Linked DNA regions of Sus scrofa. The protein of the gene in region 2 interacts with the protein of the main gene of each other region in a pairwise test. Links are inferred from orthologs where the notes say so. Each region holds a gene or a part of one and is shown on either strand. Other genes may lie near its edges.

What was found.
Region 1: the proteins of LMO1 (region 2) and PTPN3 interact in binary tests that used the Homo sapiens proteins (3 or more experiments, as listed by UniProt). The two-hybrid records come from large-scale screens. The link is inferred for Sus scrofa from reciprocal best matches to the Homo sapiens genes LMO1 and PTPN3.

The regions. Positions count from the first base shown.
Region 1 is NC_010443.5:250,445,865-250,450,295, forward strand, and holds part of PTPN3 (tyrosine-protein phosphatase non-receptor type 3), read right to left. Parts: coding exon 4,379-4,431; intron 1,225-4,378; coding exon 1,064-1,224; intron 1-1,063.
Region 2 is NC_010451.4:1,076,752-1,081,182, forward strand, and holds part of LMO1 (rhombotin-1), read left to right. Parts: intron 1-855; coding exon 856-1,069; intron 1,070-3,393; coding exon 3,394-3,519; intron 3,520-4,431. UniProt on the Homo sapiens protein: May be involved in gene regulation within neural lineage cells potentially by direct DNA binding or by binding to other transcription factors.

The DNA of each region.
Region 1 (4,431 bases), on a different chromosome or scaffold from region 2:
GGGTGGGGTCCGTTACTTTCACCTTGAATTCACTTGTTGGTTTTACTTTCTATTATTTAACGCACATTACTCTACTAATGTATTTTTACCCTCTATTCCTTACACCATCACAAATGAACCCTTCCATCACTGAAGACCCCCTGCATCTTTCTTTTTAATAGTCACATTACTCATCCATTCCTGAATCAAAACGCAGTCACATGTATTTGACAAATTTCCTAGCTTTGCTTCTGATTTTTTTCCTTTACATGGCTTTCTAATGATGCAATGCAGATGTCTGCCTTTGCATTCTATCTGAGACTCTCCTTCCTAATTTATGAATCCAGACTGTGTAAGCTGTCATTAATCATGATTCATTTTCTTTAATCGGCCTACTTGATGCTTCTTCTCTTATCTTTACTGCTTGAACTACTCTGTTTTCTACCACCTTTAAGAAATGTAGACGATAAACACAATCTATTTTCATTCTGTTAGGGGTCAGTAAAACTGACTCGAAAATCAAGTCTCCTCGGGTCCTACCTTGTTTTGTAAAGTCTCTGGGTGCTGTTGTCAACAGTCTCAATGCTGTGATTGGAGGTCCCTCCTGGGGAAGGGAGACGGGGCCTGACCTTGGTTTCTGCTTGTGTTCTGATTCTCTGGGGCACTTGGGAAGCCGAGCCCCTGTGCCCTCATGGGATGATACGGATACTAAGTGGTCGCAATTGCAAAGTGTGCCTGGTGGGGTCAGGACCCGGCTCCTCCATCAGCCCTTCTGCCTCACCCACGCTGCCTCTCCACTACTTTTGACTGCTGAGTGCTTCGAGCCTTTGCGTTGGCAGCAAAATATGCTCAGAGTCCCGCCTCCTTGATTTCTGACATGCTTCTCCATGACTACTGATCGTTACTAGAACAGGCAGGTGAGACAGAGTTCAGGGGCGGGCCGTGGTCGCCAGCCCCCGCCTTCTCTGAGGCCCCGAGCCCCTCCATGGTCCCTGGATGAGCACGGCCAGCTGGTGAGTTGAATGATCCGGCAGCAGCCGGCAGCCCACAGAGGCACTGGGGGGTCAGCCCTGAGGTCTCTTACCTCAAACTGGATCAGCACCGTCCCGCTTTCGAGGCCCTTCTTTAGCTGTTCCATGGATCCCTCCAGCGTGTCCCCACCCTCCGGACACATGGGGAAAATGGCCTCTGGGAAGAGCTGGTTCAGTTCGTCTTCAGATTTGATATCAGCAAATGAGTGGACCGCTGCAGTGGACGAGAAGGAACGTGTCGGGCCTGTGCAGCCACACGCTGGGGGATCGGTTTCCTCCCCCCAATTACACTTATGACACCTGAATGCAGATGGTTTAAAACATCTTATTAAATGATTAAGCACATGGTAATCATTTTCACCAACGACACTTCTTGTTGAATGATTCAATATGTGCTAATTATACAAAATGACATACTAATCTTTCTGGTTAGTTTTAAATGATGGTGTTTAGTACTCAGAGGCTTTTGCCAAAGGTATGAGAAAGGGAATGACTGTTTTTAAAGAACAGAGATCAGAGTTCCTGTTGTGGTGCAGCAGAAACAAATGTGACTAGTATCCATAAAGATAAGGGTTCAATTTCTGGCCCTGCTCAGTGGGTTAAGGATCCGGTGTTGCTGTGAGCTGTGGTGCAGGTCGCAGACATGGCTCGGATCCCGAGTTGCTGTGGCTATGGCCGGCAGCTGTGGGTCCGATTCAACCCCTAGCCTGAGAACTTCCATATGCCCTATGGGTGCGGCCCTAAAAAGCCAAAAAAAAAAAAAAGAACAGAGATCTTCTCCTGTTACTGTCTCTGAGCTGGTTATTCTTCTACCCCTGTTCTTCCCGAACCGTGTCTTCGGCCTACACCACAGCTCATGGCAATGCCGGATCCTTAACCCACTGAGCGAGGTCATGAACTAAACCCGCAACCTCATGGATCCCAGTTGGACTTGCTTCCGCTGCGCCACGATGGGAATCCCATGGGTCCCTTTTATCTGCTCCTTTAAAACAGGCATTTTCCCAGAAACTGGTGTGGGGTCTGGTGCTCTCTCCACACTGCCACTGTCCCACAGAGCTCAGGTGGTGTCTCTAACTCAGGCCACTGTTAGGAGGGAGGCCGCCCAGATAAACATCTCTAGTCTGTGTTTCCTCTTTGGAACAAATTCTCCCTTCATGCAGACTCAATATGGGTTAAAAAAAAAAAAGGCCAAGGGCCCTTCCTTCCCCACCATGCACAATACGTCCCGGCCTCATATGCTTCTTTCTGTCTATGTCACTTCCTTCTCCACTCTCTTAAAGGGAAGACTTTGAGCTCATCTCTGAATTTTTCCCTTTCTACCCAGAAACAGAAGTCACTCCCTTTCGCAATAGCCTTCAATGGCTCCCTACTGCCTTCAAGATAACAGGAAAGAAGGAGGCAACAACTTTGGGTTTTCCCACAGAGTTGAACTGAATCCTCACAGTACTGAAGCAGGTGTCATTATTCCCATCTTGCAGATGAGGAAACTGATTCAAAGGGCAAGAGTTTTAAGTCCACATCTGGCTGACCCGAAAGACCACATTCTTTTCACTGACCAAAGAAGCTCAGTTCTTCTACTTATTTTTGTGGGTTTTGTCATATGTGCTCCCCCGCCCCGTCCCGTTACTATTTACTTATTTTTCTTTCAATCATTTTTTACTTAAATGTTTATTTTTAAAATGAACTCACTGGAGTTCCCATCCCGTGGCTCAGGAGTAACAAACCCGACTCACATCCATGAGGATGAGGGTTTGATCCCTGGCCTTGCTCAGTGGGTTAAGGATCCAGCGTTTCTGTGAGCTATGGTGTAGGTTACAGACATGGTTTGGATCTGGTGTGGCTGTGGCATAGGCTGGCAGCTTCAGCTCCAATTTGACCTCTAGCCTGGGAACTTCCATATGCTGCAGGTGTGGCCCTAAAAAGACAAAAAAAAAAAAAAAAAAAGAACTTACTTTCATTACAGTTACAGGAAACCTTTTATGCACTTCCCTTTAGGCTCTACTAGTCTACAAGTATCTGTTTTTCTCACCTCAAAGCGTATTATACATTAAAGCCTGATACAAGTTCTGATTCTTCTTCTGTAAGGTCGAATGGGGCTCCATTAGTTTCTGCTACAGACACTGGCCCCTTGCCATGGGCTGGTGGTGGGCCCCCTCCCTGGCTTGGCCAGGGTGCTCCTGGGAAGAACCCCAGATTTGGCCAGCGGGTCACAGGGCACTGCATGTGATAGAGAGGTCTGCTCCCAACTGCTGGATTCCTTCCGTCCCTATTATCATGGGGCCTCACCAGACACATGGCAGCAGGGCAACTTAACCTCTCCGTGACTGCTGTTCCCATTTAGAGATAATAACACTAACCTACGAGAACATTTTAAGAATTGAATGGGATAATTAGTAAAGCAATTGACATGGTGTAGGCCCTCTGCTGGTGCTGCAGAGACATCAGCCACTGTCACGAGTGATACCTACTGTGTGCCCAGCATGGAGCTGGGTTTGGAGGGGATGGGGTGAGACGAGGTGGGAAGGGTTTTGGAGAGATCAGGTGGGGCCCTCACGGAGGAGGTGGGGTGAGAGCTGGCACTGGGAGCATCACCGGGAACAGAGAAGGCAGTGAGGCCACAACAGGGATGCAGGGCCAGGGCTTGAGCCACATACTTCATTTACCTTCAGTATTTGAAGCCGGGCAGGAGGATCCAAGGCTAACTGCTTTATAACAACCACCACCACCACAACAACAGTAATAGTATTCAACAGAGGCTGCCCTTCAAATGCCCACCAAGTACGGGGCAGCGTCCTTGTTGCTTTTCAGTATGAGTATTACTGAATCTTCACAGGAATCCAGAGGCAGCAACTGTGTTATCCTCATTTTACTTTAGTGGAAACGGAGACAGACTGGGCAAGAAACTCCTACTGGGCAAGGTCCCTGGGCCCAGTAGGAGGCAGGGTTAGAACAGCCCCAAGGCAGTCAGCCTCCTGCCCTACTCAGCTTACTGTCTCTCCAACAAAACCAAATGCACATGAATAAAATATAACCTGATCTGCTGAGATGGGGATGATTATGCAAAGGCAGACGGGGCCAGGCAGCTAAGCGGGGTGCACGATGTGGGCTGAGTCCGGCTGGGAGGAACGCGGGGCTCGTGCCCTGTATAAAAGGGGGTGGGTGCTGCCTACTTGCCGAGCACTGGCCATGAGGGGTAGGGTGTTGGGTGGGCAGGTCTCCACATTTTTCAAGTGAAAAGTCAGCCAGCAGGTTGTCATGGGAAAGGTCTGGCTTGTCCGATGTTGGCTACGAGCTCAACATCTCAACACCTCGGAAGGGGCGGGAGAAGGCCCTCTTCGCTAAGGCGCCTCTCCGTGGGTGGCCCTTACCTTTCCTCCGGATCACCAGGACCAGCTCCCGCGTGTGTGACTCCCGGCTGGCT
Region 2 (4,431 bases):
GAGGGGGACCAGGGGCCTGTGCCTCTGCACACACCTGTGCCCGTGCCTGCAGGCTGTTCCCGTGGGCACGGGGCGCTTGCCTGTGGGAGTTCTGCCCCTCCCTCCAGGCAAGGCCACACTGAGATACCTGCCCTTGTACCTTGCGACCTTCTTGTCTGTTGGGAAGCTCACCTGGGCCTGAGGTTCTTATCCTGGCAGGACAAGCAAGGGTGCAGAGGCAGGCGGGAACCCTCCCTCCCTCAGGCCAGGGCAGGTAGGGAGCAGGAGCAACCGGGCTTCTGCACCTCCCAGCCCCAGCCCCAGCCCCAGCCCACCCGGGGGTTTATCGGGGCGGGGGGGGCATCTCCCTTTCTTCCTGACACCTGCACGGCTCTGTGTGAACAGACCAAGAGGCTGTAGCCTCATGTGTTGGGTTAATCTAGTCAAGTACACAGCAGTGGGAGCACGTCTCCAGGTGGCAGAAAGATCTGGAAGGCCTAATGGACCATCAGCCCCCTGATGAGGTTCTGTTTTAGGGCTGCAGAAAAGAGCCCGTGGGCTGGTGGCTGCGTGGGGAGGCCCGGGCCTGCTGGGGATCACAGGGCCCAGGGCACAGTGGCTGGATGGAGAGCCGGACGTGGGGGGCCAGGCCTTGGGGCTCGCTGCTTGCCTGCAGCAGAGCAGACGCGGGCTCCAGCCCTGCGGAGGGCCCCTCACCGGGTGGGGAGGAGGCCGGACCGGGGCCAGGGAACGTGATTGCTGGGGAGACAGGGCGGCTCCTGGGAGCCCCTGCCCTGGAGGCGGCCGCAGAATGGGCCCCGAGGGGGGAGCCCCAGGGCCCACCGTGCCCATCTGTCTGTCGCCTGTCCCCCGCAGGCGTGCCGATGCTCTCGGTCCAGCCCAAAGGGAAGCAGAAGGGCTGCGCGGGCTGCAACCGCAAGATCAAAGACCGCTACCTGCTGAAGGCGCTGGACAAGTACTGGCACGAGGACTGCCTCAAGTGCGCCTGCTGCGACTGCCGCCTGGGCGAGGTGGGCTCCACCCTGTACACCAAGGCCAACCTCATCCTGTGCCGGCGCGACTACCTGAGGTGGGCCCCCCCCCCCGCCCCTCCCCTCCGTGCCGCCCCCTGCCCAGGGCGGTGCGGCTCCGCCCACTCCAGCCCGGGCCCCGCCCCTCGGGCCCAGTGCCCGCCCCACCCCAGACGGGCCTCGGTGCCCATGGGCACCGGAGAAGCTTCCCAGGGCAGGAGTCTGCCGCTTCCCAGAATCCAGGAAGGGGCCCCCTCGGAGGGGCCTCCAGGAGCAGGGGGGTGGGAAGCCCTGACTTCCCGGACCCCTCTGGCCTGAAGATGCCCCGACTCCTCCACCGCCCTGGCCGGGAGCCCGGCGGGGAGCCAGACCCGAGCAGAAGAGCCTCTGACCTTGGGGCTTAGAGACCACACTGGGGACCAGTTCTGAGCTTGGCTTCTTAGTGCCCCCGCCTCAGTCTACCCCTTGGTGACTGGTGAAAAGGCCAGCACTTGAACCCTACCTCGGTTCCTCAGAGCTCCAGCTGCCCCTGCCCCGCAGCCTGGACCCTTTCCCGGGCCGCCTCACCCATGACCCCCTCGGGCCGAGCATGACATCAGCAAGGCTGGAAGGAGGCCACAAAGCAGGGGCCTTGGCTGAGACCCAGCGTCTGCATTTGGCTCCCTGCAGGCTGCTGGGTGGGGCGGGGCCTGGTGGGGGCGGAGGCCCCCTGCCTTAATAAGGAGGTGGGCCCAGGGATTCAGGGGCTCCCTTGGCCCAGGACTGGGGGCGGGGGAGTTAGCAACACAGGCTCCCCTCTTTCCCCAGGATTTACCTGCCCGCTCCTTCTCTTTTAAAACTTCTGCCTTTTGCAGGAGTTTGTTTTATTATTTTAAATGGTGCTGAAAACCAGGAGGAGTGATTCAGGGCTCCTGGCGGCGCTGGAGGAGAGATGCCGAGGTCAGGGGAGAGGTCACCCACCTGCTTCTGGGGACTTGCCCTCGGCAGCCTGGGAGGGGCCTCCAAGTCCAAGGTTTAGGACCTCACCGGGAGGCTGAACCTGCCAGGTTGAGGGGAGGATGGCAGGCCGTCTGACGAGTCCACAGGACCTGGAGAGGGAGGACTGCCATGCAGGCTGGGCCCGTCCATAGAGCTCAAGCACCCACAAGCCTCCCGGGCCCTGCCAGCTCCTGGAGCCTGAAATATTTTCCTGGGCTCTGGCAGAGGCCAAGGAATGCCCTTGGGGCCAGGTAGGGCAGTGGGCCGGGGTGGGGCTGGGGCTTCCTGGAGCTGCTCAGCCCAGAGAATGGCCGTCCAGAGCCTGCCCCTCTGCAGCCACTGGACTGGTGGTAAGAAAGGCCTTTCTTGGCAGGCAGATGCTGTGGCCCGGCCTTTGTCTGCCTTAATCTGAGCCACCAGGCAGCTCAGGCTGATGAATAATGGAGCCGAGCTCATCTGCAGGTGCCTGCGTTTGAGCTCCGGACAAATCAGGGATTAGGGGGCCTCGCGCCTGCCTCTCAAGGCCCTCGCCTCACTTGGGGCTTCCTCTGCCACCGTACAGAAAGGGAGCAGACCGCTGGCGCATCCAGCCAAGGGCGGGCCTGTGTGGGGAGGGAGGAGCCCTCTGTCCTTGGAACTTTGCAGTTGGCAACTACGAGGAGGTGCCAGTCGTCCTTGGAAGGTCCTTTTGGCATCTGTTCTGTTTTAGAAGCATCTTTGAACGGGATCGTCTAGTCCAACAGTCCCACTTTAAAGAAGGATAAACTGAGGTCCAAGAAAAGGGAAAAGGGAGAGACGTCACAGCCTGAGTTCCTGAAATAGTACCAGAAAAAGGCCTCTGGTACCAGAAAAAGGACCAATGACTTGGTCTGTGAGAAGCCCCTAGAGCAGTGCCTGGCACGTAGCAGGCAGCGTCTGGGCATTTGCAGAAGGGCCGTGACTGAGTGTTTAGTTTTCACAAGCCTGCGAAGGATGTATTTAGGTCCCCATTTTATAGTTGAAGTGAGTGAGGCTCAGAGAGACCCAGTGACTTGCCTGAGGACACACAGCCCACAATAGGCAGACTGCCTTTAAATTCAGGCTTGTGTGAATCTGGAGTCCTTAGCCTGGGCTCTTTGGGGAGCCGCCGAGGGAGCTTGCTTGAGGGACCCTAGTGGGAGCCTGAGGACAGGAGGGCGAGTCAACTCAAGGCCCGCCCAGGCCTCCTCCTTGCGAGGATGTGCTGATCTGAAGCCGGACCTCTTAGCGGGATTAGACCCTTCCGTCTGTCTTCCTCCCCTCTCGCCCAGGCCCACCTACTGAACCGCAGGGGTTGGGGGCAGGTGGGGCCCCGGCTGGAGGCAACTCCCCTGCCCTCCCGCCAGCCCCCGCAGGCCCCTGAGCTCTCCGCGCCCTCCCTCTGCAGGCTCTTTGGCACCACGGGAAACTGTGCCGCCTGCAGCAAGTTGATCCCAGCCTTCGAGATGGTGATGAGGGCCCGGGACAACGTCTACCACCTCGACTGCTTCGCCTGCCAGCTCTGCAACCAGAGGTGGGTGGTGGGCTGCCACAGGCCCGATGCACTCAGCAGACCCCGCTGCCAGCTGCTGCCAGGTCTCTTGTGCTGCGGAGGCAGGCATGCAAACATGGGTTCTCTGTGTGCGTGTTGCCGGGAGCATGTATGTGCATGTGTGCATTTTATGTACACGTGGGCCTGGTAGCCAGGTATGTGCACTCCAGTACCGTGTGTGCCCATGAGTAGAGCACAGCTCCACACAGACGTAACAGACAGGGCCGTGCATGAGCCATGCGCATTGTGTCGTGGCCATGCGTGCATTTTTACACGTCACGTGCAAGGGGTCTGTGTGTGCTGTCTGCAGGATGGGTGAGTTTGCCTGTGCACGCGTGTTTCTGAATGTACGTGTACAAGAGCCCTGCGTGTGCTACCTATGGATACACGTAGGTGTGTTCTCGTGAGAAGGGGCTCCCGGACCTGGAGGGTGAAATAGCCTTTAGAATTTCGCTCCTGTGATTCTTGTTCCAGCCCAGCCCCCTCTCTGGTGTGTTGGCCCCAGCTTACTGTGCCCCCAGCCCTGTGGGAGGCCCCGGGGATCTGAGGAGCCAGAGCCCTTTAGCCCTGGCTGGGGCTGAGCCCCAGAAGGCAGGCCCTTTTGTCAGGAGCCCCCAGGTCAGGAAGGAGCTCATGCAAGCGTTGCCAGAGGGTGAGGTCCAGAGGGACCTACCTAAGCTGGTTTGGAGGAAGCTCTGCCCCGACCACCGCCAGGAGGGCTCGGTGAAGTTGCAGCGCCACCTGGTGGTTGAAAGAGGATCGGCTGGGCCTGGGCCTGTCACCCTGGGGTCCCACGAAAAGCCTTAGCTACCCTGGGGACATCTTTGGGGTAAGGGCTGAACGCTCCAGGACTTGAAGAGGACCGGGAAGGGCAGGGGGCAGGATAGGGCTTTC